Ovis aries: one gene and its partners. The protein of the gene in region 7 purifies or fractionates together with the protein of the main gene of each other region. This does not show direct contact. Links are inferred from orthologs where the notes say so. Each region holds a gene or a part of one and is shown on either strand. Other genes may lie near its edges.

Region 1 (3,925 bases), on a different chromosome or scaffold from region 7:
ATTTGGGATGTTTGTCAGGCCTTTATCTCTATCTTTCAGGGAACTAGGAGTTCCGTGATTCTGCTCTGTGGCAGATTTATAGTCTAAATTGTTACCAGTTCCCCAGCTCAACAGTTCTTTGTTGCTACATCTTCACATTTCCCAACCATTAACTCTTAAGTTGGCATTTTACTTCAAAAGACAAGGACACAGTGGCTCCAACAACTACCTCCTAAAAATGAAATATGCTTCCATTGAGGATGAGGATAAGGATAGGTTTCATTTGCTGAGGACTTTTTTAATCCTGGTGCTGGATAAGGTGCTTGTTTATATGATCTTACTGATGGTTTTCAAAAGGATCTTTCTTCTCCAGCTCTGAAGGCAGTTGTCACATGGTGAATTTGCTTTAGCCTGGGTTCTTGGTTACAAGAGACAGAGTTGCTACTATGTTTTATGATTTCTTCTGTAAACACCCTACTCCTGATACAAATTTTTCTGAGTCAGTGGGGTGATTGCATTGGTACAGAAAGCTGGCTCAAACTACTTTATGCAAAATGGAATTTACTGTCTCATCTAACTTGAAAAAGGTACCGTTGGTTTTCAGCTCATCTTGACCTAGGGGCCATGCATTTATCAGAGCACCATGTCCTATTTCTGCTTTTTTCTAGTTGATTTCTTTTTTTTTTTTTCCGGCTGTGCTGGGACTTCGTTGCCACAGATGGGGTTTCCCTAGTTGCGGTGAGTGGGGACAACTCTTCATTGCAGTGTGTGGGCTTCTCACTGTGGTGGCTTCTCTTGTTGGAGAGAAGGGATTCACCTGCTCCATGGCACAGGGGATCTTCCCGGACCAGGGATTGAACCCATGTCCCTGCATTGGCAGGCAGATTCTTAAATCACTGGACTACCAGCGAAGTCCTCTCATGGATCTTTATTTAGTCAGGTTTTCTGCTTGCAGACAGAGGTCCAGGCTCCCTTCATGTGAACTTCAGTAGCTATTTATAAAAGTGAGAGACTTCCTCTCTCTCCCTCTCTGATGGTATCATGCCTTGCAAAATTCCTTGGCTCTCACTGGCTTACCACCCACCCTGCGTAGATCCCCTCATCTAAGGGGTGGGATACTCTGGCCAGCCTGGGTCACCTGCCCAGCCCTGCTGTACCTGGAGAGGGTGCCTCCAGGCAGCTGGCTGGGCTAGCATGAGTGGGGCCCTGTCACCATAGGAAGGAGGCGGCACACTGAACTGCCAGGGGTGCGCGGCCTCTAATCAGCTCTGCACGTGTGTTGAGCAACAGTGTCATCATTCGAATGTCAGGCCTGTTTCCTCTGTGGAAACAGCAGCGTGGGCGAGGTAGTGAGGAGCAATGCCCCTGTGGTTCTCAAGGCCTGGGGCCCAGTCTAGGCTCTACCACGAGCTTCCCCTGGGACATCGCTAGGCACGTACCTCACTCCTCAAAGGAGGGCGCTGCCCTCAGCATCTTAGGAGCCCTTTCTAGTTTTTAGCAACTCTGAGGCCAAGGATCATACATTTTAGCCTTTTGGTTGAATACTGGTCTTTTTATTTTTTAATCTTTTGGCTGAGCCCTCTAGCACGTGGGATCTCAGTTCCCTGACCAAGAATCCAACATGTGCCCCCTGCAATGGGAGGTTGAGTTTCAACCACTGGACTGCCAGGGAAGTCCCTTTTTGACTTCAATGTTAACATATTCCTAGGTTATATCCTGTGTTAAGGCTAGCTGGAATTCACACTGCATGGTAGGGTGCTGTCACCTGAATTGTGACTCTTATGTCACAGGATGTTTGGGCTTTATAATCAGGTTGACGGTAAGTAGATGAAGATCAATCATCCTTATCAACTTCTGTTTGTTTCTAATCCTGCAGTTTTACATGGACGGATGGCAAACTAAACAGCAGCAACTTGGTGATTCTGTCTGGCCAAGTGGTTGAACACTTTGACCTGGAGTTCCGAATCCTCTATGCACAGTCAAAGCCCATCAGCTCCAAGCTCCTGTCCAGCTTCCGGATCAGCGGCAGGTTTGACCATCTTGTCGAACAGAAACCGCTGTCCAAGGAGCTCACGCTGGGCAACCTGCTGCGGCTGCGGCTGGCCAGGCTCTCGAGCACTCCCCGGAAGGCCGAGCTGGGTGGAGAGGAGGGCCGGGCTGAGGCTGGGTGCGGGGCCTCCAAGGCCTCCACCATCAGCGAGGAGGACTACTTCAGCAGCCGCAGGGACAGGCTGGAGGGCAGGAGGGCAACTGATGCCGCTACTCAGACAGAGCCCGGAGAGGAGACGCCTGCTGTGATCACAAGTGACGTGGGGACACAAGCCAGCGCGGCCACAACGTGCGCCGGGACCCAGACCACAGTGGCCACCAGGGTGGTGAGCTCCCAAACCGTGGTCCCCACCACATCAGCCACCACCCAGACTGACGTGGACGAGGGTGTTCTCGCCTCTCCCGGAAGCCAGTCTAAGGAAGGGTCACCAGTATCAAAGATGTCTGTGTCGCGCTCTTCCAGTTTGAGGTCCTCCTCCTCTCTGTCCTCCCAAGGCTCTGTGGCCAGTTCCATCGGCTCCCAGACTTCCTTCAGATCCACTGACTTTGCCACGCCTGGACACCCCAAGTACTGGAGCACCCCCCACTTCGATCTGTGCTTCAGAGACTCATTCAGAAACTTGAATAAAGAGAGACAGTTTCACTTTGCTGGGATCAGGTCCCGGCTCAACCACATGCTGGCCATGCTTTCAAGAAAAACATTCCTTACCGAAAACTACCTCGGTTTTAATTCTGGAAGTTTTGCCAGATCATCCGCTAACTTGCTGGCGGTTAGAGAAATCATGCTTTATCCATCCTATCAGTGACGGCTCTACGCATTCAGAGCTCCTGGCCTCAAACAGGCTTGCAGTAGATGTCACTGGAGCATCCCACTTTGCGGAATGTCTCCTGTCCTCATTGCCTTTCCTTCACTCTGATTTTCTTTGAATTCGATGAACTGCATAGTATTTTATGTGCTTTATCTTTATTTTTATCATGTATAAACCCAGTCTTGGTTTTATGGTTTAAACACTATGGGTACAGCTTCTTTGCACAGTTTTAATATGGATAGCTCTTCAAGAGAATGTTTCAGGGTTCTCAGGTAATTCAGGTAAGAGGTTAAATATGTTGCATTTTTAGACTTATGTGCTCATATTAGAGGTTTGAATTGCTAGTTTTCATGATCAAAATCCTGTTCAGGAAAAAACCTCAAAACTCTTGTTTCTTAGGTGTGTCCCTTTTTGAGGATATCTGTGTTCTTAGCATTAAATGGATGTAAAAAAATCTTGTTTGGTGGTTGCTCGTGTCTTTTTTTTTTTCCTTCTTCTCTGGCATTTTTCTGTTTAACTCTAGGAATGTGTTACAAGTAAACGCACCTCATAGCTATTTATGCATTTGTTTTTTAATAGTCTTGGGTGGAAAAGTAGATGACCGAAATTATAAAAGAAAATATTTAAGTTAGATGACATCAAAAAAGTGTCAGGGTCACACCTTCTCTAGAGATATAAATATCTATGTCACTAGCTCTACAGTTTGAATGAGAAAACTTGCCAGCAATCTCAGGTCTCTTCATGTGCTCTGGGTTGTCTTTTTCAGAGAAAAAGCTGTTTAGACAAAGACTTTAGTTCTGTGCTTCTCTGCCCGAGAAGGCCTCCGTGTGCATCCTGGATTCACCCTGATATTAACTGTAGTGGCCTCATGGGCCTAATTTCATCAGATGGGTGTATTGGCAATGATTTAGCAATCGGATATCCTGCAGTAGGGGCGAAAGAGGGCAGTGACAATTATCCCAGATTCCTAGTCCAGTGGCAGGCAATGCGACTAGTTTCTACACCCTGCTTGTCAGCGCTGGCATGCCAGTGGAATCCTGTTTTCATCTAGTCTCTTTTGTGCATGGGCAAAAGAAAGAGTTAGTTGA
Region 2 (3,651 bases), on a different chromosome or scaffold from region 7:
TCCTTTCCATTTCCTAGAGAAGAGGATGACCCTTCACACTGTGCTGTTCCCATCTCAACATCCCTCATTAAGCAGATAGCCACTAAGATACACCCCGAAGGCACAGTCACTCAGATACTTGATGAGTTCTACGGGCCAGAGAAGTTCCTTCAACCCACGTGGCCCTATAATAAAAAGGACTCTGACAGGTAAGGTGCTTCCCTGATAGCTCAGTTGGTAAAGAATCTGCCTGCAATGCAGGAGACCCTGGTTTGATTCCTGGGTCAGGAAGATCCCCTGGAGAAGGGATAGGCTAGCCACTCCAGTATTCTTGGGCTTCTCTTGTGGCTCAGCTGGTAAAGAATCTGCCTGCAATGCAGGAGACCTAGGTTCAATCCCTGGGTTGGGAAGATCCCTTGGAGAAGGGAAATGCTACCCACTCCAGTATTCTGGCCTGGAGAATGCCATGAACTGTATAGTCCATGGGGTCACAAAAAAGTCGGACATGACTGAACAACTTTCATTTAAACTTTTCACTTTTTGACTGTTTTTCTATGAACATTTCTCAATATTAAATGAATGAACGTTCACAAAAATGTTAGATTCCCCAGAAAACATTTTAAAAAAGAAAATGTTTGCACCTATCTGTCACATTCTGACCTTTTATCTCCTAGTAGATGTATTCTGTAAATTGCTTCGTTCTTAATCTAGAACATAATTCCATGAAAAGTTTCTTCCTCCTGGATGCAAATTTGGCATTTCATGACTCTGATGTGAAGAGGTACCATAGGAACGTTGTGTGTCTGGAATTCTTAAACACATTTCATGAGTCCTGAAGTCATTATGTTTCATTGAGTCTTTTGGATGTGGTATTTGGCACAGGAATGAGCAACTGAGCCAGTGGGACAGCCCAATGCGAGTGAAGCTGTCAGCCTGGAAGCCATATGTGAGGACCTTATTGATAGAATTGCTACCCTGGGCCCTGCTTATCAATCAGTCCAAGTGGGACCTCTGGCTGTTTGAGGGAGAGAAGATTGTTCTACAGGTTCCTGCTGGCAAAATTATTATCCCTCCTAATTTTCAGGTACTATAACTCTTTTTTTAAACTAGTAGGAATTCTTTTCTTTCAACAACCATCTTTTATTCTGAGGTTACATTTATGTTCTTAACAGACTCAATCAGTTGTGGAAAACTGTCCTCCTAGATGCATATGTAAGGGGTATGGAATGTTCTTTGATATTCAAAGACATCTCAGATGTCTTTTTTTTCCCCACCCATCAGCAGTATTCACGCTTGAGTTATCATTAAATTCGATAACTTGTACTAGTTGCATTCTCATTTCCATTCCTCAACAGGATGTTTGACAAGTATTAGGACTGCTCTACTCAGGATATGTTAAGAAAATAGAGCTGTATGCTGTGCTAAGCTACCCTCTAGATGTTTTTGTAGTTTTTATAGAAACTCTCATAGATTTGCAAGATGAATAAGAAGATTTCTGAACAGCCTTTTTTGTCAGGCCCCTTTTCCTTTATAAGTGGACTTGCCTGTCCATAATCTTGGATGCCCACCTGTTATTGATAACAACATAGAATCATTACTAACAAGGGGGAAAAAAATCTGGTTGTAAAACAGAACTTCATAGGAAGATTTTATATTTCATCACAAGAGAACTTTCTTGATAAGGCTAGCCCAGTTCCAAGAAAGCATATAAATCTGTAAGAGAATAGGGTACATGGAATTCCTAAATAAAATGTTTTTCTGATATGGAACAATTTGAGAGTCCTTTTCTTTTAGCTCCAGTTTATAAACATCTTTATTCAATTGCATTTTTTCTTTTTAAAAAAAATAATCATATGATGTTACCTTATAGAATCGGAATGTTGACCTGCATGTACCTAATATTGCATATTATTCTTTTATCAAATAAAATGAAACCTTCAGTTTCTAAGCCTTTGGTATTTATAGGGTAGTCCCAGTTTGGGTTGATGTTTTTTCCCTCCTTCCATAAATACAAATTCCACTGTGATTCAAAGAAGGCATTGGGAAGTGAAATAAAAGGTATGTTGCCATTACCAAAAAAAAGTAAAAAGGATGTGGTTGCCTAGGTAGACCTATAGTAGAAAAAATTCCTATGAATTGAGGTAAAAATATCAAAGTTAAGAAAACTGTTTTATAATTGAGGCATTATTTTTCCAGGAAGCTTTTCAAATTGGAATATACTGGGCAAATACGAACACTGTGCACAAGTCAGTCGCCATTAAACTGGCCCACAACCTGACCTCTCCAAAGTGGAAAGATGGAGGCAATGGTGAAGTTGTGTCTTTGGACGAAGAAGGGTTTGTTCATGCTGAAATAAGACTTGGTGCTTTCCCAGGACATCAGAAGGTAGGGTCAAAGCCTCTCAAAGTCTGCTTGGCTCTTGGCTGGGATGGGGAGTAGTAGGGGGTCAGGGTGGAGCTGGGAATAACATGCCATCCCCTCAACTTGTTTAAAATGAGCCTTCCCTTTTCTTTTCTAATCCCTTTTTAGTATTATATGTTCCAAACAGTTTATAATAGTGCAACACATGATTTCTTAGACCTTTCTGTTTTACAGGGTTTCTTTTTTCCTTTCCTTTACCAGTGATAAAAGCTGTGTCACATAATTTATCCAATAACCACTCTATTTCAGAACACTCAGCAGTCACTTGATTTATCGTATGTGGAGGGAAAAAAAGAACTTATTCCAAAATATCCACAAATTGTACTTGGCCTCCTCATTTTAGAGCAGGAAGTAGAGTTGCTAACATTCTGGGTTTTGAGTGAAAGGACAGAGGCTCCTGCAAGAAAGGTTATATTCCTGGAAAGGGTATCCTGAGTGAAAGGATGTAGGTTGATCTGATTCTCCCATAGAACCAACGTTTTAAGAGGGAGTTGATTCTTTACATACATATATATATATAAAGATGCTAATGCTGGAAAAGACGGAAGGCAAAAGGTGAAGGGAGTGGTAGAGGATGAGATGGTTAGATAGCATCACTGACTCAATGGACCTGAACTTAAGCAAACTCCGGGAGATAGTAGAGGACAGAGGAGCCTGATGTGCTGCAGTCCATGGAGTCACAAAGAGTCAAAAATGATTTCGTGACTGTACAACAACAATTTATTTATTTTTGGATGTCCTAGGTGTTCGTTGCTGAGCGAGCTTTTCTCTTGTTGCAGCAAGCTGGGGCTGCTCTCTCATTGTGGTGCAGGGGCTTCTCATTGTGGTGGCTTCTCTTGTTGAGGAGCATGGGTTCTAGGGTGCTCAGGCTTCAGTAGTTGCAGCACATGGCTCAGGAGTTGTGGCTCCCCACCTCTGGAGCACAGGCTCAACAGTTGGGCACAAGCCTAGTTGCTCCGAGGCATGTGGGATCTTCCCAGACCAGAGATCAAACCAGTGTATCTTCAGACCAGAGATCAAACCAGTGTGTCTTGCATTGGCAGACAGATTCTTTACCACTGAGCCATGAGAAAAGCTCTGGGAGTAGTGTTCTTGAACAGGGATCTGGTACCCATGTTTATGAAGATAAACGCCAAAAAAAGATGCATAAATCAGTTACTTAAATATAAGTGGTATGTGCTTTCAACATGAATCTTTTCTAAGTAGTATATGAAGGCCAGTTAAGCTGAATAATAGACTAACGAATCACAT
Region 3 (4,154 bases), on a different chromosome or scaffold from region 7:
TGGTGTTGCAAAGAGTGGGACACGACTGAGTGACTTCACTTTCAGGCATTGGAGAAGGAAATGGCAACCCACTCCAGTGTTCTTGCCTGGAGAATCCCAGGGACAGGGGAGCCTGGTGGGCTGCTGTCTATGGGGTCGCTCAGAGTCCGACACGACTGAAGTGACTTAGCAGCAGCAGCAGCTACCATCTGAACCACAAAGGAAGCCTCTGGTTGGTTTGGACAATGTTTTATAATAGAGCTGTGGAATAATCTCTAATCGAATTCTTGAGTCAGTTGAATGGCAATATGATAGCAATAATACCTGACGAGCTTACCACGGAATGCTCTTGTGATTAAAAAAAAAAAAAGGCAATAAATCCGAGGCAAATTTTGACAATTTCTAAAGATACTACATCAAGAATATGGAAAGCAGTCTGGGAGCTGAATCATATTTAAGTTGTTGCAAAACTGACAATTATCACTTTTTTTTTTTTTTGGTCTGGAGACGCCTAGTGTTGGAGGATATAATTATTGTGTTCAAGTTTTTGAAAGACTATCAAGGGGAAAATATTCTATATTGCTGTAAGCAGCATAACTACTAGCAGTGGAAGGAAGTAAAAGGGAAATAGATTTTGGTTCAGCAGGAGAACTTTCTAACATTAAACGCTGCCCAACAGTTGAGCAGGCTGTCTTACTTAAGGAAGTGAGCGCTCTGAAATTTGAACTGTTGAAATAGAAGTCGGACGCCTATCTGGAGGGAGTGTACAAGAGGGAATTCATGCCCGGGGGGAAGTTGGACTAATGACTTTTAAGGTGTCTTCCAATTCTAAGGTTTATAGGAGTGTTCAGTTAACCTGACATTTGAATCTATGTGAATTGTTATTTTTAAAAGATTGTATTAAATAAATAGTCAATCGACCTAAAAACTGTATGGTCAAGTTTACAGTATGTAAAATTTGATAAACATAGTGGGAAATCAGGTTTAAGACTGAAAACCTAGGTGTCATTAAAGGCAATTAGTGACACTTTTAACAGAAAGTAGGAAGAAAGAGCCATATGGGTTTCGAATGATGTGTTCAGGCCAAGTGACACTTGTCACCTAAAACATAAATGCTATAAATTGTTTTACTTTACACATGCTCAGACGGATTTTTTAACATTCAGCGGTACCGTACGCGAGAGCAAGAGCGGGTCTTTGGCTAACAAGTCTCCGGAAGCCCTTTCGCGGTTACCCAGCCGCGGAAGACCGCTCCAGCCCGCGGCGGACTCGGGGGTGGGGGGTGGGGGGTAAAAGCGGAAGAGGCGCCGCTGGCCGCGGGTCCGAACTACCAGTCCCAGAGGTCCCCGCGGCTCTGCGCAAGCGCGATGACTTGGCGGCAGCGCCGCCGCAGGACGCAGGGAAGCCAACTAGCGAGTGGCGGCGGCGGGGGCAGCGGCCGTGGCAGTTCGCGGCGAGGGGACGGCTCCGAGGCCGAGTGACGGTCCGACGCAGACCTCGGTGCCCTCTCCGCATGATCTTCTCGGTAAGTGCACGTCCCGGATCACCCCGCGCCCAGTGCGCGGGCTCCTTGCCTGGCGGCGGTGCTGCTCCGGCCTAGGGCCGCAGCCTGCGCCTGACGGCGGGCCACCGGGTGCAGCTAACCCCTGGGCCCTGGGCCCTTCCCTCCAGCGAGGGGAGACGTGGGGCCGGGGGCACACGATTCGGTCCAGAGGGGAGAGGAGGCGGCGCGCAGGGGACCAGGCAGCCTGGGGCGGACAAGAGGGAGGGACGCGTGGGGGATGGGATGGGAAGGGAGAAACAGAGGCGAGCGACCTGGCAGCTGGAGAACTGAGAATGGGAGGCGAGAAGGTGCAATATCCTCTGAGAGCCGCTGGTGAAGATGTCTTGGTTCGGAGACTCTTGACAAGCTGGACTCAACGGTCTGGGGGTGGAGGGGCAGCCCACCTACCAGAAACATACACACCATACTTGGCATCTTTCCACTTCCTGTTGGAGGTCTGTAAATAAGAAGCTGTCGGTTGCTTCCACCGCCTTTCCTTCAACTTCGTCTTTCATTGACTGGCAAAATTTTAAACGGGTGCTGGCTAAGCAAAGCAGAGAAATAAACAGGTAGTTCTGTCTGTAAATCTGCGTAAAAACAGGGAGGCGTGGTGGTCCGTTCAGACGAGAGGTAAGTCAAAGGAGAACTCAGTGTTTTAATTTTAAAATTTGTGCTAAAAATCAGTTTGAGCGAGGCTTTAAACTAGAAAGGATTTTAAACCTGGGATTCACCATTTGGTGGTTAGAATTCAGGAGCTCCTTGAACTAGAATGAGAACAAAACACGTCTTTATTATCTGATAACTGTATTGTCATTATAAGCAACAAACCACAGTAGAGTTAGCAATGCCTGTGACTTTGTCACCAACATAAATAATAGATATTTTTGTGTCTTGTTTACAGTTGTTGCAGGTATCTTAAAATATCATTTATGGTACACTCCAGTAAAACATTTTTAAAGTATCATTTATGCTTATAATTTCTTTGGATTATGGTATTATCAGACCCACTGTTAGACCTTGTTATTTGATAATAAAGGTACACATATATTAAAATATCAGGTTTTTTTTTTTTCATTCTTTTGCTAATAGTTCAGTATAATTAGTTTCTTTTGTGGTCGCATATAGTTAATTATGCATTTAAAAAGCAATCTGAGAAGGGGGTCCATAGGCTTCACCAGACTACCAGAGACCCATGGCTCAAAAAGACTTAAGAATTTCTGAAGCAGAAATAAGTTTTGGGGATCTGTAAGTTGGCTTGCAAGAATATTTGGATCATTAGATAAGAAAAAAGTCAAAGCAGATAGGACAATAGTGTAGATGAAAGAGGGAATTTTTGTAATCGGGGAAATAAAAAAATCTGACTGTAATCAGAGTAATAGTTTTGAAAAAGAGTATTGACCACAGATATTTCACTCAAGGTACTGAGGAATCAACAAAATAATCTGAGGAAGAAAGGGAAGTGAGTACTTTGGCCCTTAGATTTTTGTGTGAAGGCACCTCCTGGTTCTAAGTGATTGAAGGAATTGAGCCCTCCAAACTCTTATATAAGTCTGTGAAAGAAAATTTTAGTGTGTGCTGTTTTTCTTTAAGTCATGTAGGCAGTGTGACTTCTAAAGGGGGGTAGGATATTCTAATTTTTCTATCTTTTTTGGGATGCGGGGTGGTGGGCCACACCGTGAGGATTGTGGGATCTTAGTTCTGTGACCAGGGATCAAACACGGACCTGTGAGAGCACTGACTGCCAGGGAATTCCCCAGACTAATTTTTCTATCATTAAATGAAAACTGCAGGATCTCTCTTCGAGTGTGTTTTCCTGTTGCTGTTCTTTTCATACATGACAGAAAGTAAACGTACAGCTTAGAGTTGAAGAGTTACTAAGTCTTTTTCTTGAAATTTCATTTAAAATTCTTGTAGTTCAGCTGCTTTTTGGCCTCAGACTTCTCACTGACAAATCACTCTTAACATTTTTTCAGAATATGTGTGACTGGAAGTTTGCACCTGTTTGTAAACACCTGTCAGCATCTTGTGTGAAATATTGTCCCCTCTAAAATAATATCTATAATGAAAAACCAGTGCAGCAGACTCTTTTCTGAAATAGATGTTGGTGCTGAAATAGTTTGTGTTGACTTAAACACACTGTGTTACAAATCACTGCCTTGGGGAGGTCTTGCCATATACTTTCTGTGTCCTTACACTGCCTCTTTCATCATTCTTTCTCCCCTGCCCCTTTATTTTATTTATAGCATGTACCTATCTGGCATCATATTATTTGTATATTTGTATATATTTATACCTAAAAGATCAAGAGAATTTAGATTGGAGCTACTACTACTAAATGGGACAGTGGAGATTGGGGAGTGCTGTGTGGATATGTCCTTTGAACTGGACATTCAGTCGTAGATGTGATTAGCTACAGGGATACTGGAGAAAGGCCTCGGGTACAGGGAACAATTTGAACAAAGACAAGGACAGAGAAGTTTGTAAATCAAATAAACATCTAAGTCAACAGCTCACCGCCACCTCCCTCCCATCCATCCATCCATCCATCCAGTGCGTTAGGTCTGTAAAAGGAAAAATGGAAGAAAAGATTATGTATAAAGGCAGTTTGGGATGAACAAAGGCTGAGAAGTCT
Region 4 (4,354 bases), on a different chromosome or scaffold from region 7:
TCCCCTTCTCCTCCTGCATTCAATCTTTCCCAGCATCAGTCTTTTCCAATGAGTCAGCTCTTCGCATCAGGTGGCCAAAGTACTGGAGCTTCAGCTTCAGCACCAGTCCTTCCAGTGAATATTCAGGACTGATCTCTTTTAGAACTAGCTGGTTTGACCCGGATGGAGAGAAGAGGGCAAAGGGAAAGGAGCAGGAGAGGTCAGACTGACAACAGGTACAGATCATATAGGTCTCTGTAGATCAGGCAATCCTGAGTTGCTGAGTGGAGAGTAGACTGTGGCAGATACGGGATTCTCGGTAAGAGGCTACTGCAGTCACCCAGGTGAGAGATCACTGTGGTTTGAACAGGATGGTGTTCCAAGATGGTGCCAACTGATCTGATTCTGGATATATTTTTAAGGCAGAGTCAACAGGACTTCCTAATTGATTGGATATGGAGCGAGAAAGAGACAAGTCTAGAGTTTTCTGCCTGGAGCAAATGGAAGGACATCATGTCATTAATTGAGATGAAGCAGACTGGGAGTGGAGCAGGTTTGGCAAGATGGTCAGGATTTCTGTTCTGGACATGCTAAATCTGAGATGTTTCTTAGACTTCAAATTGGAGAAGCTAAAGAGAGAGCTGAAATATAAGACTTTGGGTTTCATGGAAGAGATCGAGGCTGGAATATGAACTTGGAAGCAGTTACCAAACAGACAGTATTTAAACCTCAACCCTGATGACAGCACCAGGGAAGTCATCAGAGGTGAAGAGACTAGCTCCAAGGATGTAATGCTGTGGCACTACAGGAAGAGGCTGGCAACAAACGAGAAGTCAGCAAAGGGAGCTCCCTGGTGGCCTAGTGTAAGGATTCTGGGCTTTCACTGCTGGGGCTCAGGGTTCAACCCCTGGTAGGGGAACTGAGATCCCACCAGCAGGCGTCGGAAGCGGGAGAATAGGAGCCAGCAAAGGATACTGAGAGGTGTGTGCGTGTACTCAGTCGTGTCTGACTCTTTGTGACCCTGTGGACTTTTCCTGACTATAGCCTGTCAGGCTCCCCTGTCCATGGGATTCTCCAGGTAAGAATACTGGAGTGGGTTGCCATTTCCTTCTCCAGGGGATCTTCCTGGCTCAGGGATTGAACCAACATCTCTTGCATTGGCAGGTGGGTTCCACCACCTGGGAAGCCCACTGAGGTGAAAAACTAGCAAAACAGGGATGTGATGTCTTAGAAGCGGAGTAAAGATACTGTAGCAAGGAGGCTAGTGTTTGTGAACGCTGCTGCTGCTAAGTCGCTTCAGTCGTGTCTGACTCTGTGCGACCCCACAGACGGCAGCCCACCAGGCTCCCCCACCCCTGGGATTCTCCAGGCAAAAACACTGGACTGGGTTGCCATTTGCTTGTCCAATGCATGAAAGTGAAAAGTGAAAGTGAAGTCGCTCAGCCGTGTCCGACTCTTAGAGACCCCATGGACTGCAGCCCACCAGGCTCCTCCGTCCATGGGATTTTCCAGGCAAGAGTACTGGAGTGGGCTGTCATTGCCTTCTCCGTTTGTGAATGCTGCTCACAGACAAATGAAAGATGAGTGTTGAGAAATGGATTAAGCAACTTGGAGGTCAACACTCTCAGAGTAATAACGAGAAAAATGACCATCTTTTAAATAATCTCGCTCCCTTTCTAGTCCTGAAACAATATTGTTCTTTGTGCTCAGAGCACTCCCTACTTTTCAGTTCTCAGCACAACGGTCATGCAACCTGGGAAACCTGACTCCCAAGACTAATGCTATTGTCAGAGAAGCTATACTTTATCACGAGTGCATTATTCTAATTGCTTACTTAATTCTTTCTCTCGGGCTACACTGGAAGATCCTGACGTTAGGTATACCTTTACCCTGTTTACAGTTTTTTATCTAAACCATCTAAACTCCTAGCACGGCGGGATGTGCGTAGTAGACATTCCATGATTACTTACAAAACACGTAAATAAATGCCAGGAGAACTTAGCGGCGTGAGTAACCACTTCCTGCTGGCCTAACCTCGGTGATGCCTATAAGAGTGCCACTCTAAGGAATGGGCGTGGAGGGCTCCGGCAACCCTCAATCTGCCCCAGAGCTGGGTCTCCCAACCCCATTACCTTTGCCAAGGGCCTCAGTTTTTTGTTGTTGTTGTTTTTTAATTCCAAGTTATTCCCCTGCCAGACACCTTTCAGCCGTCCGCCCCAGCTACCCACCCTCCTCCTCGTACCCCATCCCCCCCACTCACCCAGCCGCGTGGTGCGCTCCCGCGGCACCGCGGGCCTGTCCCCGCTCCCATGCTCGGCCTCGAGCTCCTCTTGCTGCTGCCGCGCTTGCTGCAAAATCCGTCGGGTCAGCCGGGGCCCCACGTACTCTTCCTCCTCGTCTCCGGTTCCGCGACCCCGCCGTTTTTCTCGGGCTCCTGCCCGCACCGCGTCACCAGCCAGGATCTGCTCGGCCAGCGGCGCATGCTTCTCCTGACCCCCGGCCGAGCGGGCCGCCTTGAACTTGGGCATTTTTCTAGAAAACCAAGCCGTGAAGTTTCCCACGTGGGTATGGAGGAAAAAAAGGCCCCGAGTGCGCTTGCGCGGTAAACACCCAGCGCCCGAGAGCCCACCGGAGCTCACAGCGCCCCCTCGCGTCTGGAGGCCGGGTGTGCCAGAAGCCCCGTCCCACCCCCCCCCCCCCCCAAAAAGAGCTCACGGGTCCTGGAGCTGGGTCCTCCCGAATTTAACGTTGTCTTCTCTAAGTGGTTGTAGTCCGAGATACACTTTCCTAGTTTCATGGATCTGGGTCCAGGGTGCCCAGGCGAATGGGAATTCCCTGACCGGCGAACCAGGGGATCGGGGGCGGGGCGGAGTCGGGCAGTGACCTCACCGAAGGACCCAGACACGCCCTTCCTCGTGGGCGTGTCGACTGGACGCTGTGTTTTTACGTAAGTTCCGGAGCGCCTGCCTCCATTGGAGCTCGCTTTAGCGAGGTGGTTTCTCCTCTTGTGGGCTGCTGGAGCACAGCGCATTTCACTTGTTTGATCCTCCCATCTTCCTGGCACGACACCATGGGAGTGACTTGGTAGGACTTCAGAGGACTTTGTGGGGCGGGGTTTGGGGACTTGAAGGCCCCTGGAGCCTCGAATATACCCGGGAGGAGGATCCCGACCAGGGTCCACAGTCCCCCGGAAGATGAGCAAAATGTCCTCGGATTGTGTAAGTGAGGGGGCCACCGCGAGGGCTGCAGAATCTGCAGGCCCCTTTCCTCGGAGATTCGCCCCTTCTTCCTGGAAGGCGGCAGGAAAAAGGGTTTAAGAACCCGTTAATGATCGTGTACCTCCTTCCTTTTTTCTTGATACAATTTCTTGACCGTGAAGCCTGGGGTAGAACTTTAGGGTTGAAAGTAGTATGTCGGGACTCGGACCCGTCTGCAGGCAGGGCTTGGATGGGTAGGGGATAGGCAACAAGGAGATAGTATCTTTTTTAGGTTTTTGCCTGCCCCTCCTTACAGCCACTAAATGCAGTTAGATCAGCATGTGTCTGGTTCTAGTTTGGCCTTTGTAAGATCTTGAGTCTGGAGGGAAAAAAGGAGCTGTTGGGAATTAGGAGATAGGAATTACAGGCACATCACCTCTTCAGGGTCTGTTTCCTATTCTGTTTAATTACCTGGTTGGTTTAGTTTTTATGGACTTATTTTAACACGTTATAAGTCAGTGTGGCAGGGAAAGGTATGGGCTTAATTCTCTTCGAGTCATTTAGTTCCAAAATGCTAGATTTCAGAGCTTTAAAATATATATATCTTGAGCATCTCTCCCAGAGAGGGCTTAGAGGCCAGGTTATCTGAAGGCAATGGCTCTAGGCTTCTCATGTAAGAGCCTGTGGGAATTCCTGGTAGCCCAGGTCTTGCAGATTTGTCAGTGACTGCACATTTGCTTCCTGAAGCTGGCATCATGAGCCTCCTTCAAAGTCCTGTAGTGTAAGAAGGGTGCGAAGAATGGGAATGAAAAGTTTGCTAGGGTCTTTCATGACAGTCCAGTGGTTAACATTCCACGCTTCCACTGCAGGAGGCACCTTCTACTTCAAGGGGCATGGGTTCAATCCCTGATTGGGGAATTAGATCCTGTATGCCTTGTGGCGCAACCAAAAAAAAAAAAAAGCATGCTGCAAAGAGGCGTGAAACCCTGGAAGTACCTGTTCTCTCAGGGCAGAAGGCAAGCAGGGAAAGGGCTCTCTCTTGGGATGCTTCGCAACTTTTTCAGGCTTCTAGGACTTCTGACCCCAGTAGCATCACCTTAGGGATTCTCTTATATTTCAAAATGAGGCACATCATCATCATTACTTGTTAGTACTTTTTCTGATGGAGATTAGAGACA
Region 5 (4,268 bases), on a different chromosome or scaffold from region 7:
TCCTCTGCTCGGTGCTGTACTAAGTGGAGTGAATATATTTTTTGTGGATGAGTCATGCCTTTGCAGAGCTCCAGAGGCTTCAGCCTGAATTTCAATTCTTGCAGCATTGTATGGAGTGGTAGAATGACGGTAAAAACCAGAATACACGAGAATTCACCCTATTAAGTGGCTGTCTTAAAGTCAAGAAGTGAGTAGGTTTCTTATTTGTTTTTCTCTCCTAGGAGTTGAGTGTTGAGGAGAAAAAGAAAAAAGCCCAGGTTTGCTGAGAGATCCTCTAGGCTCAGAATGATCAATCTTCCTCTGTTAGGAGAAAAGAAGAGTCTAGGGTACAGTCAACTAAATCAAATTTTGGCCAACAATGTTTAACATCTGGAATACCTGGAATTATTCTTAACACCTGGACTTCTTCAGAGAGGATAGTCGTAAAAAGCTGAAAATGCAAAGAACAAACTTTTCTTAAAAGTCTATTCCTAAGAAGATTGTTAGAAGGTATCAATGCAGAAAGAGTGTATTTTGGGGAGAGGACGAGAAACAAAACTGAGAAAGGAATCCCTCCTCCAATTCCACTGGATCACACATGTCAGTCCACCAGCACCGGTCATAGCACCATCTACCGCCACATGGTCCCCACAGCAGCCCAGCTCTGCAGGGCCCCACGAGTTAACACCGAGCCTTGACTTAGCTAAGAAAACTGTTTAGGAATGAAAAAGATGTCACTTCAAAATTAAAAGTGATGAGGAGGGGGGAAACCTCAAAATGAGGGTTAACTCCTAACAATCTTTTCAAATGTCTAGGTAACAGACATCACCTTTCTGTTACGAACACATGATCATTAAGCCACTTTAATTTTTCTTTGCTAGTTACACTATACACTCTGCAGATTTTAAAGCACAGATAAGAATTATGTGTTCTGGCTGATGTAAGTATAAAGGGTACATATATTTATCTTTTATTACCTTTTGACACAGTGCGAACCACCTAACTGCTGTGCTAGCAGCCACAAGGAATTGAAAGTATGATTCTAAAGGATGAGGCTCAGAGCCCAGGTTTCTCCTTATGTCTAGGCTTCTCCCTAGACAAGGAGGCCCTTAAGGACAATGAGGTCTCATGAAGTGTGCCTGCATATGAGCATGTACAGAACTGTGTTCTCATTCTGAGATCTGCTATATCTCATGTATAAGAACACACACAACAGCCTGTCATAAGCAAAACAACAACCCAACCTCAATCCTGATCTAAAACTAAACCGCAGACATAAAACAGACCATAAATTAAAAGATCGGGGATTAAAACAAAACAACCATTTTCCATAGAGAAAAAAAACATATGGACTGATAATAAAAATTATAAATAAAACCAGCTGACACTTCCCTAGCACCATGTCCCGGAGGGCACGATGCTAAGCTCTTTACAGCTTATCAGGTTGTCAAAATACCATCTATAGTAATGGCACAGATTAAATACCATAGGGCAAGACGATGGAGTGTTAACTCAAGGAAGAAGGCTGGCTTACCATTAACTCACCCTTATGTCAGAATAACTGTACTTAATAAATAGCTCATTGGAATGACTAGGAGTGGTGACGTCGCAAAATAAGTACAAGTTAATTCGGGTATTTTCCATGGAACGACTCTAAGTGTAAATTGGAAGGAAAAGGCTAAATAAATAACTTGAGCTCCAACAGGGGAAATGAAGAAAATGGAAGTCGTTCACAGTCATTTACTATTTATACTGCAAAAAATGCTTACTCTACTATCTGCCTCCTCAGAATCAGACCAGCGCGCAGCCCTGACCATACCAGCCACGCAGTGTTATTACAGATGTGTGCCAGGTTGTGAATAGGACGTGGCCGGCAGGAAAAACGCAAAGTTAGCTCCTGTCTCGGGCGAGAAAGAAAGCCTGCTTACTTTTTGTGGCTCAATAAAGCTGAACACCAACTCTCAAGGGGTAAAAAACCGGACATCAGGTGCTCGCTTTCCGCTTTGCAGAGGGATTTGAGCTCACGATGAAGTTCCTCGCTTCCCTCCCCGGCCTGCACCCCGCACGGAGGGAGAGCTGTCACCGCCTGGGTCCCCACCACCACCAGCAGAGCCCGTGGACCAGGCAGCGCGCTCGGCGGCCGGGCTCCCAGCTCCGCGGGGTGATGGGGCGCCAGCGCGCCAGGGGTCTCTTAATTCCATTTCAGATCTGAACGCTTTCAAATAAAGTCCAGACAATTGAGACCACGAATGGAGCCCGAGGGGGTCCCCCAAACCAAACTTTCGGGGCCTCGGAATCTGCATATCTTGCAGGAATTCCCAGCCCACGAGGAAAAGAGACCGATTCTCGCAAAGTACTCAGGACCAGAGATGAGAGGCCGCGCGAGGGGGCCCTGGCAGAGGGGGTCCCGGGCGGAGCCCCTACCCGCGCGCCCAGCTCGCCGGGCCCCCGCTCCGGCCTCCCGCCTACCCCCGGCGCGCGGCGAGCTCGTGGCCCGGAACACCGGCCGGGGTCGGTCTGGGCCACGCGGCCCGCGCGCCCCGTTAAACCGAGACCCAGGCTGGGCGGGAGCTGCAGGGGCGGACCCGGCTGCTCGGCGGCCGCGCGCAGCTTCGGCGTTGTGAGCGATCGGGGCGCGGCGCTGCCCCTCAACTCGGCCCCCGGCCCAGCCTTACCTCGTCCGCGCTCCTCTGTGCAGTTCGAGCCGGGCACCGGGCTCCGGGGACGGCAGGCAAAATTGTCGAGGCCCGCGAGGGACGAGGGCCGGGCCGCCGGGGCCACCGGAGGGTAGAGCGAGGGACTGGGAAGGCCGCGGGGTCCGGGGCGCGAGGCAGCGGGGGGCCGAGCTGGCGGCGGCCGCGGCGGCTCGGTCTGAGCCGAGTGGGAGGACTCTGACTGCCAGCGCCAGGGAGCGAGGGAGGGAACTTGGAGCGAGTTGCCGCGGCCGGGAGCGCGTGTCCCCGCCGGTGTGCACGCCCCCGGGCGCCCCGCCCCCGGCCCCACCCCTCCTGCAACCCCCCCCCCTCCTAGCACCTCCCCCAGATCACCCCACCCCTCACTCCTATCGCACCCCCCGCCCCGCCTCCAAAGCGCTCCCGCATTGGCCCCCGACTCCCTGCAGGTTCGAGAAGCGCTGGATCTTAACTGCCAGGAAACCCCAAACCTGGAGCCTGTTCTGTGAGTGTGAGAACTCGCCAGTCCACCTACCTAGATGTCGGTGCCTGACAACATTTTCTATTGACTAACTTTCATCTACTCAGATACACCCTCTCAATATTTGTAAACTAAATTTCTGAAGGCTTTTTTTTTTTTTTTTTTGGTTTGTTGGTTGGTTGGTTTTGTTTTGCTTTTTTTTAAATTTAATTTTTATTTGAGCATAGTTGCATCTCCTGTGTCTCCTGCATTGGCAGGTGGATTCCTTCCCACTGAGCCACCTGGGAAGACCTCAATACGTAGTTTCTTCATAATGTATCAGTTTCTGCTCTACAGCAAGGTGAATCAGCTATAGGTATACGTAAATCTCCTCTTTTTTGGATTTCCTTCCCATATAGGTCACCACAAAGCACTAAGTAGAGTTCTCTGTGCTATACAGTAGGTTCTCATTAGTTATCTATTTTATACCTACTATCAGTAATGTGTATATGTCAACCCCGGTCTCCCAATTCATGCCACCCACCCTTTTCCCCATTGGTGTCCATACTTTTGTTCTCTACATCTGCGTCTTTGTCTCTGCTTTGTAAATAAGATCATCCATACCATTTTTTTAGGTTCCACATACATGCTGAAGGTATTTTTGAGACTCCAAAAGAGATTTGAAGAAGACATTAGAGAATATAGGAAAAAAATCTTCGGGTACCATGTACTAACCCTAGAGTATAGACCAACTGATGTTTATAAATTAAGTAATTATTTCCGGGTGCATCCTTATTTATCTCATAATGCATGGTTTGGTAATGCTTTTTCTTTTGATTTGCCTAATAACTTGGTTGGGGTTTTGAGGGTTTTATTGTTTTAGGAAGATTAAACCCATTCTTGTTTAGCGTTTACTATTGGGAATGCTAAAAGAGAAAACCTGTATTTATCAAAATGGTTGATTTTGAATGAGATATGAGTTCACAACATAATTACTTCTCTAAAATATGTAGCAAAATTTTATTTTATATCTTTAGCACATTTGAAATGCAGTTGCATTCATCCTGTTTTCTCAGGAGGATCATCTATATTTGAATTATGTGACTCTTGTTTCATGCAAGTTCAGAAATTATCAAATAAAGAAAACTCAGGCTCCC
Region 6 (4,107 bases), on a different chromosome or scaffold from region 7:
CACAGCCGTCCCCAGGGATCCAGAGGCTGGCCCCTGTGGGCAGAACCGCCGGACCCCCAATCAGGACGTCCTCACGAGCTCAGGGCAGCTCAGGGCAGCTCAGGGCAGGCCGGCCTCTTCCTTACTGCCCCACGTCAGTCCACTAAATGCTATCTGGGCCTTCCAACGTCCAGTCTCTTCCACCAGTCCCTGCCCGCGCCACCCTCCCACCCCCATCCCGCCCCCAGCCCCCAGTGGAAGTCTCCCTCAGAGGGGGCAGTGGGTCCATCAACTGCACAGGACGCCCCGTCCCCCGCAGCTCCCCGCGCCCGCCAGGTGGGCTTCTCCCCCCATACTGGCTGGGGGCTGGGGCCAGGGGCTCCTGTGGCAGTCAGGTTAGAGCAGTCTGTAACCAGTAAGCACCCTGCCTGGATGGTTGGCGCGGCCCGGGTCGCGGCTCCGAGCCCTGTGGGCTGCAGCTGGAGTTTCCCGGGAGCAGGAGAGGACGGGGTGGGACGGGGTGGGGGGGCACTGGTGCCCGCCCAAGGCAGGACCAGACGCGTCCCGACACACAGCCTGCAGTCTGGCTGCCGAGTCGCCTCCTCTGGTTTCTCTCAGTCTCCCTCCCAGTCTGGCCGAAGAGGCCTGTGCCCCAGCAGCCCTGCGCCGTGTCAGCGCGTTAGTCAGCCTCGCGCCGGGTGAGCAACCGCGCCGCCAAGTCCCTATAAACTCCCTGGCGTGGCCCAGCCCGCGGAGTGGGTCTGTGAGGCCCACAGACAGAGCCCGGGTCAGCGCCTCAGCCGGGGTGCCAGCCCAGGGGAAGGGCAGACACGAGGGGCCGCAGGAGCGGAGGGCCCACCGTGGCCTCTCAGGGGAGCCCCCTGGGCCCGCCTGACTGAGGCTGGCCAGCAGATGAGTCGGGGCCCCCGAGGAGCAGACACCTGGTAAAACAGGCGCCAGATTGGGGGCATGTCTGGCAAACGAAGTAGAGCTCGCAAACCCCGGCCCAGGAGGGCGGGCAGGGCAAAGAAGGCCATGGGGCAGCAGGGCCCTGAGGCCAGGCCCCCGCCCCCCGCCCCAGGCTGCCTGGGGGACGAGGCGGGGGTGGCCCCCGCAGGGCACGTGACCAGCAGCAAGCTGGCTCCCCGGGGGCACCCCAAGGTGGCCAGACCAGAGCGGCCACAGGGAGCCGAGAGGCCGGAGCAGGCCGCTGCTGTGGGGTCCGAGCTGGTGCTGGTGCCCGCTGCGGACATGGAGGGCTACGGGGTGGGCGGCCTGGTGCCAGGCCTGGGCCCGGAGCTGCTGAGGCTCCACGAGGTCGAGCTGTGCTTGGCCCAGGAGCAGCTGCTGCTGGAGGACCGGCGTCGGCAGGCCCAGCTGCACATGCGGCTGTGGCAGGAGGAGCAGCTGTGGCTGCAGCAGCTCCAGGAGCAGCAGGCCTGGGTGCGCGTGGAGGGGCTGGAGCTAGCCCTGGCCTTGGAGCAGCTCCGCAGCGAGGGCCTTGAGGCGCTGCAGACCCAAGACCCGGTAAGGCCTGGAGGGAACTGGGGTGGAGGAGGCTAACCATCCCGGGGGTGTGGCGACCGTGGCAACACCCATGGCACATCTGTGGCCCAAAGTGAGGGTGGTGCCCACTGCACGGGGCACTGCAAGGACCACTCAACAGGAAGCCCTCCCAGGCTGGCCCGATGCTAGAAGGCAGAGGGAGCCCAGGCGGGGACTGTTCAGGGAAACTGAGGCAGACGTGTCTCTGCAGAGCACCCAGGCATCCTGGCCCGGTGGGCCGGGGCAGGAACTGTCCAGCACAGTGTTTGGGACATGTGGGGTGAGGGCCGGGTCCCGAGCCCAGCTGGACAGTCAGCAGGCAGGACCAGCATCCCCTCCCCCGCCTGACACAGCTTCCTGGCCACCTGCCCGGCCTGCTGTTTATTGCAGAGCCTGTTCCCAGGGCTTGAGATGAGATGGCGGAAGCCACCTGAGCCATCATCCTCATTCCAGGAGCACTGCTGCCTCAGACGCAGCTGGGGCTATTTTGGGGAGCTAGGGTCTAACCCAGGTTGGCGAGGAAGAGTGGGCACTACCATCCTGCCAGGTCTGGGGATCTGGGAGGCCTCTGGGGTCCAGGCCCGCTCAAGCAGGGGGGCTGCAGCTGGGGAACAGGGTGTGGGGCTCCCCTACCAAGCACAAACCCCAGTACAGGCCTGTGCGTGGGGAGGACCCCTAGCTGCAGCCTAGAAGGTGTTGGCAGCCTAGCAAAGAACTCAGATAGTGCTGTGACAGAAGAAATGGGATTCAGAGAAGAGTGACCGTGGGTCAGGGTAGACATGGGAGGAGATGCACTTCCTAGCCCATGGCGGGACTGAGCCAAGGGCAAGCTGTCACCTTTCAGCCTGGAAGTGGCTAAAGAGAGCATGGCCTGAGGGAGCAGCAGCCAAGGAAAAGCACAGTAGGGCCTCGGTGGTGAAGAGGGCCAGAGGGGACCACACACCGTCTGAGAGTCCCCACCGTGGGTTGAAGCCCTGCTGTTTCAGAACCTATATTCAGTCCCCACAGGCCTGCTGCCTGTCTCCACGTGTCCTAAAGTTATGCTGTGAACACTGTCCTCGGGACCCCAACCCCAGGGGTACAGTCCCAGGGTCAGAATCTTGAAGGGACATCTGAGCTCTGACTCCTCTGTCTCAGGGAAGGCTCCTGGGCGGCTGCACAGCAGGTGTCGCAAGTCAGAGTCTGAGCCAGGCTGGAGGTCAGAGGGGTCACACTCACCGGCAGGGGCCCGTGGCTTGGCTCTAGGGAAGGACTTCCCTGGCGCAGCTCTGAGTGCCCCCTTCTTACTGCTCATTCTCCTGGGTGAGGGGAAGGTCAGGAGGGTGTGCTCAGAGTGGCAGAGACAGTGGGGACAGCATCACATGGACCTGCAGGAACAGACAGCAGGTGCCGAACTGGGGAACACAGGATCACCCCCAATGTAGCTTCCTGCCGGCTTCCTTGTCCCCCCACCTGCCCCTGGTTCTTGGCTTATGTGTGCCCAGTAGCTTGGGTGGGAATGCTTGGCAAGAACATCTGGCCACAGCTTATCCCCCTTGCCCTCACGTCCCTGCCCCCTCAGCCTGGCTCACCCATCCTTACCCCAGGATTGAAGTCTGGTACCCATCTCCCAGCTTCAGACCACTGGGCTTAGCCAGCTTTGTCCTAAACAGCAGCCTGAGACGACCTGGCCTTGCAGAAGCCTCTGTGCCCACACTGCCCCCAGCCCTCCCCCCACACCCCACCCCTCTCTCGTCTTGGCCTTGATAGGAGATGTTGTCGGGGCCCAGGAACAACACCTCTCTCCCTGGCCTACTCGGCTGACCACCAGACTCATTTCCCCAGGGGGGCCTCACCTGCCCCAGGCTGTGTCGCTGCCCCCTCCCCTGCAGCACTGCTGCCTGGGTGCTGCCTGAGCGCACACCTGTGTTCCCACCGTGGATGTCACTGAGCGTTTGGGGAAGGAGCAAATGCAACTGGGAATGACCCTGAAAGTTGGGAGAAAGTGACTGGAGACGGGCTGAAAGATGGATGGGCACTGTGGCGGGGGAGGGAGAGAGCTTGAGGTGGGAGGGCAGCGGCAGGTGCTGCCATGGGCTTGGGCAAATGGTCAAGGGCTGGGCAGGGCCTGCGTCGTGTAAGGGCCCCTCAGAGAGGGTCTGATGGGGAACTGGGGTTCTGAGGAGGAATCTGAAGTGTTTGTGGGGGAGGCTGGGGGACTGGGGCAGCTAAGGAAGGGAGTGTGTGTATGAGTGCCTGCACACAAGTGTGGCGGGAGTGTGCGGGGCTCAGGGACTTGCAGAGCCCCCAGTTTCTGAGGGACTCTGGGTGCTCATATAGCTGCCTGTATGTTGTAGGGTTCTGTGGGGGATGGCCCTGCTTGCGTGCAGAGTCTGTGCAGCAGAGCGTCCTGTATGCATGGACGCGGGCGTGCGCCTAAATACAGCAGGTGCAGGCCTCCATGTGCTTGTAGGGTCCTGTATGGACCTGGGTTTCTATGTGCATCGGGAGCGGAGGGTCCCATGTAAGCGGGGGTCAGTGTGTGTGTGTGTGGAGTCCCTTGTGTGTGCAGGTCCCTATGTGCCTGTACAGTCCCTGTCCACA
Region 7 (4,325 bases):
TCATACTGTCTTCCGGCACTACTATGTAACATTCAGGAACTGATGCTTGCTCCTCCAACCTGACCACCAATAGTGTTCAAACGGGCTGCACTACTGTGGCAGAGTGGTGGAGAGGGAAGACTTGAGAATGGAGAGACCAGGCAGTTTCCTCCTCTGCAACTAGAGATGATGATCCAGAATCAACAGCCTGTGCAGCTATCTCACTCACACCTCTATGTAACCCCTGTGCTCAGAGTAGTATGTCTGTTGGCTGTCCAAAAATATGCAATAACAGCTTGTTCATGGTTCCTTCTTTTTGGTTGGGGTAGGAGATAGGCCGAGAGAAGAATCCAGGTGAAACTCATTTCCTTTTGGTTCAGGGGCCTCTCTGAAGAGCCAAAGCAGATTAAATGAAAACGGAGATCCAGTTTCCAGGAGACAGAACTGGAGAGGCAGGCGATGCAGGTCTCATCCTCTGAACCACGGTAACGTCAGCTTCACCTTTCAGTCTGACGCCAGAGGTCCTAGGACTGCTCCTCCTTCCGACAGAGGCTTGAGCTTGCTGTCGGCCCTTGAGCCTGCTGTAGGCCCGGGGCTTGGCTCATAGGGTGGGAGGGGAACTGCACAGTGCACGCCCTGGCCAGCCCAAGAAACCTGTGCACACTTGTGTCCCGGCCTGTGTCACTTCCTGCAGGCACCTGTGCAGGGAAGGGCGTCCCCACACCCACCACCCCAGCCGCCGAGAGTCCCAAAGGCGTGGGTCTGGGGCCTGGAGAGACAGGCTGTCCCCTCTCTCCCTCCGGCAAAGGGCAGTGCCTGGAAGCCTGTCCCATGCCTGTCGCGAGGAGACGCTGGCTTCCCAGACACCTGCGGGGACAAACGAAGTCCCTGCGAGAGCACGTGGATCCTGCATGCGGAAAGGGACCAGGCAGGGGGCTCTCGGCCAGGGACTGCTGGACGGGGGTGGGCAGGGGGCAAGGAAAGGGGAGGACTGAGACACCCGTGAGTCGCGACTACGCGACACAGCACTGGCTCCAGGCCCAGCCCTCACCCAGGCTCTCTCCCGAGGCCCCGGCCGCGCCCCTAACCCCGCCCCTAGCCCTGCCCCTAGGCTGCGCGGTCTCGCCGCCTGCCCCTCCGCCCGAAGCCGCGGCCCCGCCCCTCGGCCAGCACAGCCCCGCCCCACTGGGTTGCTAGGGGAAGTGACGTCACAGCGCGATGGCGGCGGCTCCTTCAGGCAGCTGAAGGGAGATTTAGGCCCGGGAGATCCGAGTCCATCCGCGGCGGGGAGAGGGCGAGCGGGGCCGGCGGGGGCCGGGACAGGGGCGGCGGCGCTCGAACTGTCTCATCCGCCCCGTATTGAGGCGCTGGGAGCGGCGGGGCGACCGAAAAGCGATGGTGAAAGCGGGGCCGTGAGGGGGGCGGAGCCGGCAGCCGGACCCGCAGTAGCGGCAGCAGCGGCGCCGCCTCCCCGAGCTCAGACCCAGGAAGCGGCCGGGAGGGCAGGAGTAAACCGGTCCCGCCGCCGCCGTCATGGAGCTTAGAGTGGGGAACAGGTACCGGCTGGGCCGGAAGATCGGCAGCGGCTCCTTCGGAGACATCTATCTCGGTGAGGCGCCCCTCCCCCCGGCGCGGGCCACCCCAAACCGGCGTCCGCCGGCCCCGGTTCCGCTCCGGCCTCCGCCCCGGCGACCCCGCCCCCGACGACTCGAACCCCAGGCCCGACCCTCTTCGCCGCGGGCGGTGAGCCGGGTCCCCGCTGGTTCGGATCTCCCAGCTCCCCAGGCAGGAACTTCTGGCCTTTTTGACCCTCGCCCCTCCACCCCACCACCCCACTCCGAGGGCACCTGCTTAACCTGAGCTCGCGGCCTCTGAGCAGTGGCCGGGAGCCTCGGTTAGGCCCTCGCTGCCCGCTCTGCCTGCCCCGCCTGGTGTCCGCTCCCAGTGGCCCCCCCAGGCAGACAAAGGCCGTCGGCTAGTGCGGCTCCCACGTCCTACGCCCGTGCGGCGGGCACGAGAAGAGTCCGGGGCTGGCCGAGGCTTCCTCGGCGCTCCTCGTGACGGTGCGGCCTCAGCTGACCAGCCCCTCTGGCTCGGAGCCTGGGTCGTAGACCGCAGGTGGCGCACAGGGTCGCCTGGGGGCCAGTCGAGTGGTCGTAGAGAACATGTTGCGCATCCAAGTTCCGTACTAGGTACCTCGGCTTAATCGAGAATGACATTCAGGTGATTCTGGACAAAGTCAGCGTTAGGGTGTTGGCAGACTTAGAGGCAAATAAAGTGGCAAAGCTCTACTCATTAGCTTACCCTTTTGCTATGAAAATTCTTCCAGGTAGACGAGGGGAAAGATTAGAACGTTCCGGATGGCTTCAGATTTCCAGTGAAAGAAAGCGCATATACATGTGTGTAATAAAAGGTGGTCTTGAGTCTTACAGTTGAAAGTTTAAAAATACCTTATTGGGTTTTCCCAAAGGAATAATTGTATATAAGTTACTCCTACCCCTGCGTGTGCAGAGGGACTCTCATTGCGCAAGTTTGGGGGTAAACATGCTCTGTGCTTGCGCAGCCCGCTCTGGTGTTTTTGTTTGGCTGGTGTCAGGGAGGGTCAGGAATAGCTTCGTTTGTCAGTAATGCTTCTGGGTTATGCCTTTCAGATGGTCCCAAGTCCGTGTGCTCACTGCCCCATCCTTGGCTATAGTTCCCAAAAGGATGCACAACCTCCTGGGCTGACAGTGTAAGAGGAATCAGCACTTAGGGGAGTTCCTAACTGTTTTTGGTACCCTTACCATACAGGGAAACCTGTCACATCCGTGTGTGCTGTACTGCCCTGCTGAGTAGAATACACTTTAGAGACACTTGGGTTTTGCTGTTTAAATATTTATGTCCGGTAGTCAGCAGTTGCCTTCTCAGCAGTGTTTTGGGAGGCAAAGTGCTGGGTAAATGCATGCTGTTTGCCTTATTTATAGAACAATAGATTTTGGCAAAAGTTTTAACCTAGGATCTAGGAGCCATACTGAAAAGCCAATCCATTAGCCACCTTTACACTGATAGGAAAAAGTCAGTGTTTTGAAACTTTGTGTTCTCTGGTCTGAAACCTTGCCAGACAGCCCTCTGCTTTCCAAAACTTTGTTCAGTCAGAGTGTGGAACACTGTCACCAGGTCATTCACAAAGAAGTTGAGAGTTTTGCAGGAGACCCTGTAGGCTTATTCACAAGTGTGTCCTTTGGGCCTCACCTTGTTCTGGACACACCAGTGGTGCTTGATACAGATCATCATGCTGACTGGTCCCAGAGGGATCTGTCTTCAGTTTTCTCCTTCACATTTATCCTAAGATGGATTGACTGTGCCTCTTGAGCGCTAGTTATGAGTACCCACATGGCCCAGCCATTGGAGTACACTTAGAGTTACTTGTGTGCAGTTGGATACAACCAGTTATTTTCATCAGCCTTGGCTCTTGGCACCATGTAGTGGTGGCTTCAGGCTACATGCTACCTCACTGAGAAAAATGTGACATGGTCTTGTTAGATTGAGATGTGACTGGAAAAGTGGGTCAGAGGTGGTTCAGTCGCTAAGTCGTGTCTGACTCTTTGTGACCCTGTGGATTGCAGCACCAGGCTCTCTGTCCTCCACTATATCCCAGAGTTTGCTCAGAATCATGTCCATTGAATTGGTGATGCCATCGAACCATCTTACCCTCTGCTGCACCCCGTTCTTTTGCCTTTAGTCTTTCCCAGCATCAGGGTGTTTTCCAGTGAGTTGGGTCTTCACATCAGGTGGCCAAAGTATTGGAGCTTCAGCATCAGTCCTTCCAATGAATATTCAGGGTTGATTTCTTTTAGGATTGACTGGTTTAATCTCCTTGCAGTCCAAGGGACTCTCAAGAGTCTTCTCTAGCACCACCATTCGAAAGCATCAATTCTTCAGCTCTCAGTCTTTATGGTCCAAGGACCATGGGATGTATTGAGTCATCTGTACCACTGTTGTTTCTGGGTTTGTTGGTTTTTTTTTTTTTTCCCCATTTTTTAGGCAATTAATTAGTCATTAGTTGAGGAATGAGGAATTTGGTTCTCATCTTAAAATTATGTCCCACAAATTATAGTATGATGACAATTAAAAGTTGTTCCAATTGCTGTCACTTTGCTATAGGTCAGATCACTCTGGACGACTCCTCCTCCACCTTGCTTTGAGTGTGGGGTTTGGGGTCTTCTTGGACTTTGTAGCGCTTTCAGATGTTTGAAGCTGAGGGTTAAGAGCTGTCCTTCAGCTTGCTAAATGCCTTATGAACCAAGAAGGCCCAGAGCTGGCCTCCCTTCCCAGCAGCCTGCTGTGCTGACATGCGCACTCAGCAC

The links.
Region 1: the proteins of CSNK1D (region 7) and FAM83D purify together in Homo sapiens (affinity purification with mass spectrometry; 4 studies listed by BioGRID and IntAct, counting the BioPlex papers as one, with this or other methods). This does not show direct contact. The link is inferred for Ovis aries from reciprocal best matches to the Homo sapiens genes CSNK1D and FAM83D.
Region 2: the proteins of CSNK1D (region 7) and VPS13B purify together in Homo sapiens (affinity purification with mass spectrometry; 3 studies listed by BioGRID and IntAct, counting the BioPlex papers as one, with this or other methods). This does not show direct contact. The link is inferred for Ovis aries from reciprocal best matches to the Homo sapiens genes CSNK1D and VPS13B.
Region 3: the proteins of CSNK1D (region 7) and GAPVD1 purify together in Homo sapiens (affinity purification with mass spectrometry; 5 studies listed by BioGRID and IntAct, counting the BioPlex papers as one, with this or other methods). This does not show direct contact. The link is inferred for Ovis aries from reciprocal best matches to the Homo sapiens genes CSNK1D and GAPVD1.
Region 4: the proteins of CSNK1D (region 7) and BYSL purify together in Homo sapiens (affinity purification with mass spectrometry; 3 studies listed by BioGRID and IntAct, with this or other methods). This does not show direct contact. The link is inferred for Ovis aries from reciprocal best matches to the Homo sapiens genes CSNK1D and BYSL.
Region 5: the proteins of CSNK1D (region 7) and FAM110B purify together in Homo sapiens (affinity purification with mass spectrometry; 3 studies listed by BioGRID and IntAct, counting the BioPlex papers as one, with this or other methods). This does not show direct contact. The link is inferred for Ovis aries from reciprocal best matches to the Homo sapiens genes CSNK1D and FAM110B.
Region 6: the proteins of CSNK1D (region 7) and FAM83H purify together in Homo sapiens (co-immunoprecipitation; 5 studies listed by BioGRID and IntAct, counting the BioPlex papers as one, with this or other methods). This does not show direct contact. The link is inferred for Ovis aries from reciprocal best matches to the Homo sapiens genes CSNK1D and FAM83H.

The regions. Positions count from the first base shown.
Region 1 is NC_056066.1:67,743,205-67,747,129, forward strand, and holds the end of FAM83D (protein FAM83D), read left to right. Parts: intron 1-1,855; coding exon 1,856-2,834; 3' UTR 2,835-3,296; downstream 3,297-3,925.
Region 2 is NC_056062.1:77,433,172-77,436,822, reverse strand, and holds part of VPS13B (intermembrane lipid transfer protein VPS13B), read left to right. Parts: intron 1-17; coding exon 18-188; intron 189-861; coding exon 862-1,063; intron 1,064-2,175; coding exon 2,176-2,364; intron 2,365-3,651. UniProt on the Homo sapiens protein: Mediates the transfer of lipids between membranes at organelle contact sites. Binds phosphatidylinositol 3-phosphate. Functions as a tethering factor in the slow endocytic recycling pathway, to assist traffic between early and recycling endosomes.
Region 3 is NC_056056.1:10,762,940-10,767,093, reverse strand, and holds the start of GAPVD1 (GTPase-activating protein and VPS9 domain-containing protein 1), read left to right. Parts: upstream 1-1,348; 5' UTR 1,349-1,504; intron 1,505-2,011; exon of another isoform or gene 2,012-2,152; intron 2,153-4,154. UniProt on the Homo sapiens protein: Acts both as a GTPase-activating protein (GAP) and a guanine nucleotide exchange factor (GEF), and participates in various processes such as endocytosis, insulin receptor internalization or LC2A4/GLUT4 trafficking.
Region 4 is NC_056073.1:15,720,985-15,725,338, reverse strand, and holds the start of BYSL (bystin), read right to left. Parts: upstream 2,854-4,354; 5' UTR 2,695-2,853; intron 2,512-2,694; 5' UTR 2,508-2,511; coding exon 2,240-2,507; intron 1-2,239. Other genes in the region: MED20 (mediator of RNA polymerase II transcription subunit 20), read left to right, coding at 3,050-3,063. UniProt on the Homo sapiens protein: Required for processing of 20S pre-rRNA precursor and biogenesis of 40S ribosomal subunits. May be required for trophinin-dependent regulation of cell adhesion during implantation of human embryos.
Region 5 is NC_056062.1:37,290,095-37,294,362, reverse strand, and holds the start of FAM110B (protein FAM110B), read right to left. Parts: upstream 2,907-4,268; 5' UTR 2,655-2,906; intron 1-2,654. UniProt on the Homo sapiens protein: May be involved in tumor progression.
Region 6 is NC_056062.1:13,979,648-13,983,754, forward strand, and holds the start of FAM83H (protein FAM83H), read left to right. Parts: upstream 1-1,273; 5' UTR 1,274-1,362; coding exon 1,363-1,506; intron 1,507-2,742; coding exon of another isoform or gene 2,743-2,818; exon of another isoform or gene 2,819-2,891; intron 2,892-4,107. Other genes in the region: IQANK1 (IQ motif and ankyrin repeat domain-containing protein 1), read right to left, coding at 2,743-2,818. UniProt on the Homo sapiens protein: May play a major role in the structural organization and calcification of developing enamel. May play a role in keratin cytoskeleton disassembly by recruiting CSNK1A1 to keratin filaments. Thereby, it may regulate epithelial cell migration.
Region 7 is NC_056064.1:50,100,951-50,105,275, forward strand, and holds the start of CSNK1D (casein kinase I), read left to right. Parts: upstream 1-1,458; 5' UTR 1,459-1,512; coding exon 1,513-1,588; intron 1,589-4,325. UniProt on the Homo sapiens protein: Essential serine/threonine-protein kinase that regulates diverse cellular growth and survival processes including Wnt signaling, DNA repair and circadian rhythms. It can phosphorylate a large number of proteins.